Sus scrofa: one gene and its partners. The protein of the gene in region 3 purifies or fractionates together with the protein of the main gene of each other region. This does not show direct contact. Links are inferred from orthologs where the notes say so. Each region holds a gene or a part of one and is shown on either strand. Other genes may lie near its edges. The genes, in order: CYFIP2, BRK1 and ABI1.

Evidence for each region.
Region 1: the proteins of ABI1 (region 3) and CYFIP2 purify together in Homo sapiens (co-immunoprecipitation; 4 studies listed by BioGRID and IntAct, with this or other methods). This does not show direct contact. The link is inferred for Sus scrofa from reciprocal best matches to the Homo sapiens genes ABI1 and CYFIP2.
Region 2: the proteins of ABI1 (region 3) and BRK1 purify together in Homo sapiens (co-immunoprecipitation; 3 studies listed by BioGRID and IntAct, with this or other methods). This does not show direct contact. The link is inferred for Sus scrofa from reciprocal best matches to the Homo sapiens genes ABI1 and BRK1.

Annotation. Positions count from the first base shown.
Region 1 is NC_010458.4:65,999,411-66,003,159, reverse strand, and holds the start of CYFIP2 (cytoplasmic FMR1-interacting protein 2), read left to right. Parts: upstream 1-1,583; 5' UTR 1,584-1,722; exon of another isoform or gene 1,723-2,137; intron 2,138-3,749. UniProt on the Homo sapiens protein: Involved in T-cell adhesion and p53/TP53-dependent induction of apoptosis. Does not bind RNA. As component of the WAVE1 complex, required for BDNF-NTRK2 endocytic trafficking and signaling from early endosomes.
Region 2 is NC_010455.5:66,321,670-66,325,170, forward strand, and holds the end of BRK1 (protein BRICK1), read left to right. Parts: intron 1-1,713; coding exon 1,714-1,796; intron 1,797-2,062; coding exon 2,063-2,089; 3' UTR 2,090-2,972; downstream 2,973-3,501. UniProt on the Homo sapiens protein: Involved in regulation of actin and microtubule organization. Part of a WAVE complex that activates the Arp2/3 complex. As component of the WAVE1 complex, required for BDNF-NTRK2 endocytic trafficking and signaling from early endosomes.
Region 3 is NC_010452.4:49,047,378-49,051,026, reverse strand, and holds part of ABI1 (abl interactor 1), read right to left. Parts: intron 3,205-3,649; coding exon 3,104-3,204; intron 2,212-3,103; coding exon 2,131-2,211; intron 1-2,130. UniProt on the Homo sapiens protein: May act in negative regulation of cell growth and transformation by interacting with nonreceptor tyrosine kinases ABL1 and/or ABL2. May play a role in regulation of EGF-induced Erk pathway activation. Involved in cytoskeletal reorganization and EGFR signaling.

The DNA of each region.
Region 1 (3,749 bases), on a different chromosome or scaffold from region 3:
TTGCTGCGGTTCAGCAGTAACAAACCCAACTAGTATCCATGAGCATGTGGGTTTGATCCCTGGCCTTACTCAGTGTGTTAAGGATCCAGCATTGCCATGAGCTGTGGTGTAGGTTGCAGATGCAGCTTGGATATGGAGTTGCTGTGGCTGTAGCATAGACCTGCAGCTACATCTCTGATTTGACCCCTAGCTTGGGAACTTTCACATGTCATGGGTGGGGCCCTAAAAAGACACACACAAAAAAGGAAACCTCAGTTCTCTTTTTAAAGCCATCCTCCACAAACACCCCCACAGCTTTCTCACATGGCATCAGGGACAGAAATGTATATGTATACATAAGTCATCCTTTCTGAAATAGAGATTTAAATTAGAATGAGTGATGTAACATCAAACCACAAAGGATCATGAATCCTGAGCACTCGGGAAAGGATGTGAGATCAGCGAGGACAAAGACTTATACAAGTCCTTTGCTGAGTGTTGAGTAATGTGGCTCCTCTATAAATAACCCTTGATAGGAAGAGCTGAGTGATGAACTTTACATTTGCAAGCCCCTCAGATATATTTCAGGAAAGTTCCCTTGTAGCAAGACTTTACCCCCTAACTTTAAAACATCTCAAATGATTTCAAATCATTTACCTTGTGAAGTAGGAAAGGCAACGATTATTCCCCACATTTTAGATGTGGTGGCATCTCAGGAACAGAGTGGTGAAGTGACTTGCTCAGGGGTCCCAAGGTTGGAATTAGGTGTTGTCTGACTTCCACCTGGTTTGAGGCCCCGCCAGGATGCATTTCAATGTGAACCATTTCTTTGGAGGGCCCTAAATGGCAAATAAGTCTTGAAGAGAAAAGTGCCTGTCCTCTCAATTCCTTCTCTAATTTCCGTCATCATGGATTTGCCTTTTTGTCCATTAGGCAATTAATTCTTCCTGAATGAAGTTGAGGCAGGCCTCTGCTTAAGAGATGGCAGCTTCAGGGATTCCACACCAAGGAAGTGAAAGAGAGAACCAGTAGGTATTCTTGAACAGAGGAGCAGCATTTGGGATCAGACTCCATTGGCAGAAGCCCTCTCCCCAACTCTCAGGTTTATTTTCTACCATTTCACCCTGTTTCTTTTTTTCTTTTTTTTTTTTTTTCCACAAAACGGTCTTTTAGCTGAAACTGGACATTTGCCAAGTTAATTTATGCCATGTATCTCCTGATAGATGATAAGCTCCAGAAGGGCAGAGACTCTGTCTTTTGCATACCCCAGTGCATACTCAGCTCCTGGCACGGTGCTTGGAACGAAAGAAGTGCTCGAAAAATATGCATTTGGAAATCATGTGAGATCAATGAGATCCTAATGGAGCCCAAAGGATCAGTCCTCCCACAAGCTGCAGGTGTGGTTCCTGGGTCTGAGGGGCCCGGGAAAATCCTCCCTAAGCGATGTAGCTGGCTCTCCTGGGGCGAGAGGTCCGGGTGCAGGTCTGGGATGCGCCAGCCGCGCTGAGGGACGCACCCAGAGCCCCTGGCCGCAGCCATTTCCTGCTCTTTGTGTGACAGGCGCGGCGGCGAAGGGGCGGGGTGCGGGGAACGGAGGAGGAGCCGCAGCGGATGGAGGGGCGGGGCCGAGGGCGGGCCCAAGCGCGGCGGCCGCCGAGCCGGGCCAGGCAGAGCATCCTGCGCCCCGGCGCGGGGCCCCCGCCGTATCCTCGGGCAGCTCCCCTAGACCTGCTGCAGACCCAGGTAAGCGGCGCTCGCAGGCCTCGGGGCCGGCGTGGAGACCGGGATGCTGCTGGGGATGTCGACGCAGCCGTAGAGATGCGCGAGGGGCTCGCACCCCTTCTCCCAGCGCCGTGGGGGTGCTCGGCGCGGCGGCCGGGCTAGCCCGGCCTGGGGGCCCCAAGAAGCTCCCAGAGGCCGGGCCTCGGGCCCAGCACAGCCCGCTGCCCCCTTTGGCCCACCCTAGTGCCTGAGGCGCGGACCGCCTTCGGGGAGGCACCGACGCATGGAGAAGCTGAGGCGCGGTGGCGGTGGCAGCAGCAGCAGGTGCGCGGCCTGGGCCGAAGCCACCCGCCTGGGAGGAAGCGGCGCTCCTGTCGAGCATCTGAAGCACCTGCAGCGGCCGCGAGGCCGGCGGTGGCGACCTCCCGGCGCCCAGGTACCGCAGAGCGCCGGCCACCGCCTCTGCTGCCGCCTCTGCCGCTGTAGCTACCATCACCTCCCCCAGGGCCAGCTAGAGCCGCCTGGGCCCGCCTGGCAGCCGCCTTGGACGCAGCGCGCCCTGTAGTGAACGTGAGATGGGTGGAGCAGGGGTCTCCGCAGCGTTGTTTCGGGGTGGGGGGCTTTAATGAGCGAGGAGGCAGGCCTGACCCGCTTTGAAGCCTTCTGGCCTAGCATCCTCTCCCTCTGGCTGGCTGGGGGCGGGGAGGAGGTGGGGGGAAGGGAAAGAGTGGTCTGATTCCTGGGGGAAAGGTTGGGTTTTATTTAGCTCTGTAGTGGCTTCTGCGTTGCAGGACAGCCGCCTCCCTCCAGGGGTATGCATCATCTGAAAAGGTATACAAGGGCAGTTCTCCGTGTGGCAGTGGGGGTGGGGGCGGGAAGCATGGTCTGGAGTAGGTTCTGTCTGGAAAACCTGACAGAGAAGGACACCGAGACTGCCCAGGTACCCTGCTCAGCCCAGGGAATCTGACTTTGACCTCTGCCTGTCTAGTTTCCCCACCATAGCAGTGCGACTCACCAAGGACTGATGGATGGGCCTTCAGCTCCCCTTACAGCGGGGCCCAGAAAGGGACAAGGTTATTTTCCTGTGGGCTTCTGGGCACTTGTGCCTTCGAGGCATGGTCAGAAAGGCTGGGGTAGCCCTGCAGGCATGAGGGGCAATCAGGAGAGTGCTGGTTCCCACCTCTCCCTTCCCACCTCCTGACTCTGTCACTTTTGCGCACGGGGGTGGGTAGGGGGGAAAAGGAGGGGTGTGGGGAGGCCGTCGATCTTACCTTACTCTTGGGCACAGGCGCTGTTGCAAGCCATGCTGGCAGCTGTGAAGATTATAGCTGCTGGAGGGCAAAAATCTAGGTCCATATCCCTGGACAGGGTGGTGAAGGCCTTGAAAGTTGTTTTCTCCATCAGAGCTTCTCTGCGATCCCTCCTGAGACCGCTCACCTCTGCTTCCACACAGTGCCCTGTGCTCCACCCCCACCCCCACCCCCACCCTATTCTCCTGTGCCAGAAATTGTTTTCAAGAAAGGAGCCAGTGAAGGCATTTATCCTCAAAGAGCCAAATACAAACAAATTTCCCATTAGACGCAGAGCAGGTGCTTTAGAAGTCATTTGACCAGAAAGGAAACAGAGGCTTAGAGGCATTTTAATGGGAAACAAAGCTTTTAGTAAATAATATTTCATATCTCTAACGGTGGAATTTCAGGCAGTGGGCTGGAAGTGGGAGTGGGGAACTGGGTCGCAATTTTGGGGAACAGCTCACTGAAATGACAGCTTTTAGCAGCTGTCAGTGCTGTTTGCTTGCTGCAAGGGCAGCTTTGGCCTTAAGGGCAGAAATACCATAGGAGTAGTGTGTGTGTCTGTGTGTGTGTGTGTAACTGGTCAGGGGTTACTGTCACTAGAAGGCATTGTTGAGCACTCAGTGTCTATTTGGAAGAGGTGAAACCTATAGAGAGTTACTTGTTGACACTGGCTGCCATCTGCCAGAGCAGCTACTAGGCCACAAGAAGAGTGTGTTGTTGCTCTCAAAGCCAGTTCCCCTGGCTAGTTCTGCA
Region 2 (3,501 bases), on a different chromosome or scaffold from region 3:
GATCTAGTCTGAACTGAGCCTTAAAAGGGAATGGTTGGACAAACGAGATGAGTAAGATTTGGACTTGGATGAAATGAAAGTTGAGGCAAGATCAGGGTGCGGAAGATTTGTTAAAATGGGAGCTGAAGCACTTTGGCATAATATCCAGGAAGAGATGAAAAAGGTTGTGAGCTAAGTGTTAGATCACGAAGTAGGAGTGTCAGGGAGACGGATATTTTAAACTCAGAAGTGAGGATTATTATTATTATTATTATTATTATTTGGCCACCCCGCAGCATCTGGAGCTCCTGGGCCAGGGATCAGATCCGAACCTCAGCCTCGAACTAAGCTGCTGCTGTGGCAATGCCAAATCCTTAACCCACTTTGCTGAGCCAGGGATCGAACTGGAATCCCAGAGCTCCCAAGATGCTGCTGATCCGGTTTTGCCACACCGGGAGCTCCAGAAGTGCGGATTATTGAGAGGTGACTGAACAACAGTGTTGTAGGAGGGTGTAAATAATCAGCATGCCTGGAAACCTTTTTCTCCCAGATGTTGAGAACAGTTGGAGGAAGATTAGTCAGGTGATTTCTGTTAGAGTAGTTTGCAGAAGAAAAAGTATTTTAGGGGACATCTAGATTTCCTTTTGGGTGAGGTGGTAAAAGAGGTTGGAAAAGGTAGAGGAAGAGAAGGAATTTTTTGCAGATGGAAGGTGAGCTGCACAGGGTGTTCGATGTTCTCCAAGTTTCCTCTGCTTCTTAAAGGGCTATGCAGGTACTGATGAAACATCAGGTGCCCTCCTGGAAAAGCCGTCATGATGCAGCTTCCACGAGCTCAGAAACACCACATGTTCCCTCTTCCTCAGGGTCTGCTGCTTCCTTGGCCTCTGCTTTTCTTCCCTATTGAGATTATTTTCCTCTTATCATTTCCCCTTTCTTGAAGCTCTTGATTTGCCTATTACCAAATGGCCATCTCTACAGCCTTGGCGTATTAGTTTTCTATTTTCTGTTGCTGCCATAACAAATTATCACAAATGTAGTGGCTTAAACCTCATAAACATATTATCTTAGAGTTGTGTAGATTAGAACCCAACCCTGGTATCAGCAGGGCTGCCTTCCTTCCTGGAGGCTCTAGGAAAGAAGCTGTTTCCTTGCTTTTAGGTCATTGGCAGAATTCAGTTTCCTGCAGCTGCAGGACTGAGATCCCTGTTTCCTTGCTGTCTGTCAGCTAAGGGCCATGCTCATATTAAAAGGTCACTTGTATCCCTTGGTTCATGGCCACTTCTCTCCATCATCAAAGCCAACAATGGCAGGTTGAGTTTCTCTCACACTTCGAATCTCTTCTCATTCTTCTGCTTTACTTCAGCCTTTTCTGTCTACCTTTGTGGACTTGTGATTAGATGGGGGCCATCTGGATAATCCAGGACTTTAAGATCCTTAACCTCAATCATATTTGCAAAGTCCGTTTGCTTTTACAAGTCCTGGGGGTTAGGGAGTGGACTTCTTGCTGTGGGGGGAAGTGTTATTCTCCGCCTACTGCATAGCAAGTTAAACAGATCCTCTCTAAGCAGCTGTACTCCTAAGATACTTCTCACCTTATCCTCCCACTCCTGTACTTTGCCCACTCACTCCCATTTGTGCTCTGCATGATACATCATTCCTCCTCTTCATCTTAGGGGCTGTGTGTGTCTGTCTCTGGAATAACATTAATCCTGAACGCCAGTCTTCTTTTACCAGATATGTCTTGTCGTTCAAGACTCGCAACACTAAACGAGAAATTGACAGCTCTTGAACGGAGAATAGAGTACATTGAAGCAAGGGTGAGTATGATGGGCGAAGGTCTTCCTCTTGAGACAGGAGTGGCTGTGCAGGAGGGCGTGCATATTTCCACTTGTTGCTGAAAAAAGTTGGAAGCAGAAACAGGTTTAGAGAAGTTAAGTACCTTGCTTGGGTTTAAGCCAGCTTTCTGGGACTCAGAAGCTGTCGTCTTTTCTACCACTTCCAACTAGCTAGGGTATAAAATAAGATTTTTTTAGACCCCTCTAATCCTTTTGAATTTGTCTAATTGTCAGTTTTCCTTTGACAGGTGACAAAAGGTGAGACTCTCACCTAGAACTGTGCCATGCTGCTGCTGGGAAGTTGCTTTTACAGAACATGGGCCCACGTGGGAAAGGCCCCAGCAGCCTTCAGCTCCTTCCTCTCTCCTTAAAGAACAACAGGGCTTATTCTTGTTTTTCTTTTTTTTTCAAAAATGTGGCCTTTGGGCTCTGTGATGTACACCCAGGAATGTGATGAGGCAGGTGGGGAGGAGTCCAGGGAAACTCTTGGAAACAACATTAAGCATTTTACCTTTTCAGTAACACTTTGTAGAACTCCTTGTCAACAAATTTGAGGCTCTAAGAGCCAAAAGCCTGGGACTCTGTCAAGGTCCTCCCCATCTCTCTCTCTCTCTCTTAGCCTTTCCTTACAGCTCTCATTGCCTCTGCACTGATCCTATACACAGTCTTTGTCTCCTCCCCACCTTTGGTCGGGGTGGGAAGCAGTCCTGGCCAAGACATTCCTACCCTGGCGAGGTGGCCGCCAGAGAATGTTGTTGCCAACCCACCAGTTTCTTGTCCATTTGGGGAGGCCAAGGCCTCCCACTTGGCTTGAAAAGGGACATTTTCAGAATTTTCTTTCTGTCACTTGGGGTGTCTTTGCCTCTCATATTTCCCTAATAAACTCCTCAACTTTATCTGACTGCTGTGATTGTGGTGGGGAGAGGAGCTAGAGATGGGGCTCACCTCGTCCACAGAAATCTGATGTGTGGGATTCTTACTCCACTGTAAAACTTCTAGATGTAGCTATTTGATCAAAGCCTAGGTGGCTTGCCAGCTGGAGCCCCCTTATTTGGACTTCGGAGCTGACTAATTTGTTTGGTCATTCATCAGACGTTTGCCAAGTACTTACTATGTAGGCACTTTAAATTCCAATAAAAGATACAGTGTTGAATCAGGCATGATGCTTACAGTCTATTGAAATAACAGCATCCACACGGTTTAATTGCAATCCAGGGTAGACTGTTAGTTTTAAAAGGTACAAGATATGGAGTTCCCGTTTGGCACAGTGGAAACGAATCTGTCTAGGAACCATAAGGTTGTGGGTTCTATCCCTGACCTCGCTTAGTGGGTTAAGCATCTGGCATTGCTGTGAGCTGTGGTGTAGGTTGCAGATGAGGATTGGATCCAGTGGCTGTGGCTGGCAGCTGTAACTCCGATTCAACCCCTATATGGGAACCTCCATATGCTGAGTGTTTGGCCCTACAGAGGAAAAAAAAAACACAAGGAAAATGTCTACTTTTTTTTTTTTTTTTTTTTTTTTTTTTTTTTTTTTTTTTTTGCTTTTTAGGGCCGCACCCCTGGCATATGGAAGTTCCCAGGCTAGGGGTTGAATCAGAGCTGCATGAAGCTGCTGGCCTACACCACAGCCACAGCAATGTGCTATCTGAGCCATTTGTGCAACCTACAACACAGCTCCTGGCAGCAC
Region 3 (3,649 bases):
GTGATAGTAATTACCGTATTAGAAATTAAAACTGGAGGAGTTCCCATTGTGGCTCAGCAGAAACAAATCTGACTAGTATCCATGAGGACGCAGGTTCAATTCCTGGCCTCACTCAGTGGGTTAAGGATCTGGTATTGCCGTGAGCTGCGATGCAGGTCACAGACCCAGCTTAGATCTGGTGTTCCTGTAGCTCTGGTGTAGGCCGGCAGCTGCAGCTCTGATTTGACCCCTAGCCTGGGAACTTCCATAGGCTGCAGGTACAGCCCTAAAAAGAAAAAAGAAAAAAAAAAAAAAAAAAAAAAAAACCGATTCGAGTTCCATCATGGCACAGTGGAAATGAATCCAACTAGTATCCATGAGGACACGGGTTTGATCGCTGGCCTCGCTCAGTGGGTTAAGGATCCAGTGTTGCTGTGAGCTGTGGAGTAGGTTGCTGATGTGGCTTGGATCTGGCATTGCTGTGGCAGTGGCGTAGGGCAGCAGCTGTAGCTCCGATTCGACCCCTAGTCTGGGAACTTCCATATGCCATGGGTACAGACCTAAAAAGCCAAAAAAAAAAGAAATTAAAACGGATTTATCTTTAAAACACATTAAGGGAGTTCCCACCATGGCTCAACAGCAAAGAACCCAACTAGGATCCTTGAGAATGCAGGTTTGCTTCCTGGCCTTGCTCAATGGGTTAAGGATCCAGCATAGCCATGAGCTGTGGTGTAGGTCACAGCAGATGTGGCTCAAATCCCTCCTTGCTGTGGTGTAGGCTGGCAGCTGCAACTCCTATTAAACCCCTTGTCTGGGAACTTCCATATGCCACACGAATGCAGTGCTAAAAAACAAAAACAAAACCAAAAAAACACATGACTACACAAACACATCCCATTAGCTTTCAAAAATGATATCATACGTTATGTTGTCTCTGGAAAATTCCACTGTTTGTACCAGAATGCAAAATGAAAGAGGCAAAGAAGTCTAAGTACTATTATGGATATAGTTCTGACTACAAAAACTCCATGAAAAGATCTTGGCAACACCCAGGAAGAGTTCCATAACCATATTTTGAGAACCGGTACTCTAGGGTAAATACCTAGAAATGAAATTAATAAATATACGATAGAAACCTGGTTCAACTTGACTAGGTAACAAATTATTTTCTAAAGTGAGTGTATCAAGTAGTAAATTCCCACCAGCAACATACTTTTCTGTTACTGTACATCCTCATCAACATCTGGTGCTGGTGGACTTCTACATTTTCACATGTTGGTTGATATAAAATAGCATCTTGTAGTTTTTATTTTCATTTTCCTGATTATTAATTACATTGAGGGCATCTTCTTTTCACGTGGAATTTCTGCAACAATTTCTATTACTAGGGCTTTTTTTTATTACTCCCTTTTCCTCCTTTTCCTCTGAGTGTATGTGCCAATGTTTTGAAAACAAGGTGCTAGATGACTTTATTTCACCTAAGCTGAAACTCAGCTCTTATTATCTGAAACAACCCTATCCATTTCTATCCAAATGCTATCATGCATTTCTAGGCTGAATGGTTTTATACTGAGTCTATATTTGGAATTTCTTGGGGACAATTTAAATGTATTTTATTGAAAAAAAAATTTTTATGTCATCTTCAGATGCCATAAGTACTGGGTTGTATCAGAGTTTTTCAACTGTAGATCCATAGGAAAGCCTCAGAGCAATCACATATTACATCATTTTCTTTTTCATTTTTCTTCCTCCTGTCCCTCACGTTCACACAACTACCTTGACTGCTGTATGTACCAGGGAGTTCCAAATCAAGTTTCACTTTTTAAAAATGGCATTATTGCATTATTAATAAAAAAATTTTTTTGAACAATCACTGCTATAATTCTCCTAGAAAAATCTAACCAAAACAAATGTAAACCACATTAAATTGGTTATAAACTAGGTATAGAAGCATTTGACATCACAGAGACGTTTCTGTGTAACTTCAGAGGCCTTTCACCAGAAGAAATTAGTGCTGAATTAGATTTAATGCTTTAAACTTTGTATTACCACCTACAACCTAATAACTATAAAAACCAACAGTCTAACAGAGGAGTTTACTGTGAATTATGCAAAGTGAGTTCAATCACTCCAATGGTTATGCAGTCTCACCTATCACAGTGCTCACTGGGAGAAGTGGTGGAAGAGGAAGTGCTGGTGGAGCTCCAGAAGGAGGAGGGACAGAAATGTTTTCTAACGAAATAGTTTATAATTCAGGTCAGAGTGCAAGAAAGAGAACTAATCATTCTGAAACAGTAAGAAAGTACAATGTTTTGGAAAGAAGAAAAAAAGAGAGCATGTTCAAATGAATAAGAATTTCACTAGGTAAAAAGGCCATTGAGTTCACACTTGCATTAATGACAAAATATGCTTGTTTTTATAAGTAGCTTTTTCTCCTTTTTCAACAACATCCTTGAGAACCTAAGACTTTTTCCCTAACAGTTCTGATTATCAAACCTACTTTTAAAATGTCTATTTTTAAACCATACAGATCCTTTCAATTTACTAAGAAAAAAAAAAATTTAAAAAAAAATCAAGGGACCAATTTTATACTCTGCAATCTTAAAAGTTTTATATAAGTAAAAGTGCTTTTCCTAGTTTAATCAACTTTATATTCACGGCATTTTTCTGAAATATGTATTAAATATATCATACACAAATGTAGCAAAGTCATAGAACCAACAAACACCATAGTTGATAAACTAGCCTAAAAAGCATAATCAATACTCAATGACTCATAATTCATATAAAAGACACTGATCATTTCATTGAATTATCAACAACATTGCTTTGCTCTTGAAATAATATCATTCTTGACTAGTGCCCAAGGTAAGTATTTCTAAAAGAAATGGCCAAAAAAATTACTCAATAAAGCTATTTAATATGCTTTTTTTAATGAGTAAGGAGAAATTGCTGTAAAACACTAAAGACTCCAGGAAAACCGAAAAATTGTTTTTTAATTTGTTGGTTTTCATTCTAACAATTGCATAAACTTAATGAATACTTTTAAGCTAATATAACTAAATTGTTTTAGGCTTCTAAAATAAAGCTCATAAATGCTACCACATATTAGTAGAGAATATACCTGGTCCAATAGTAGGTGGTGAAGGTGTAGGCACGGCAATGGGAATGCCAATACTGCTGCTGCCACTGTTTTCTCGGCTTCCACTGCCTCCACTGCTTCCACTGCAAAGAGAATCTTCATGAAAACGATTCTAGAGATTTATCCCCTCTCCCCCCAAAAACAACTCAAGGTCACTAAATACTCTTTTCATGATGTATAAGTGTACATGTCTGCCTTTGTGTGAATATGTGTGCAGGTGTGTGTCTATACACACACCCGCACGCATATAAATTTTTTAACTGTTCAATACGAATTTTAACCCTAAAGGAGAAGTGGTTTCTGTGTTTCACTCTACTTCTCCATCTACAGGAAATCAGCACAATCATCTAAGTACTCAGAAGTATCAAAAGAAATCATTGAGAAATGAATGTCCAATATAATCATAGTACAAGTATTTAAAACCTCATTAAAAAGATCAGTGAACAAAGCAGACATGAACTACACTGCCTTGGAGCTCCTAGTTGAGAATGGGAAAACAGACATTAAAAAAGTGTGATGGAAGCCACC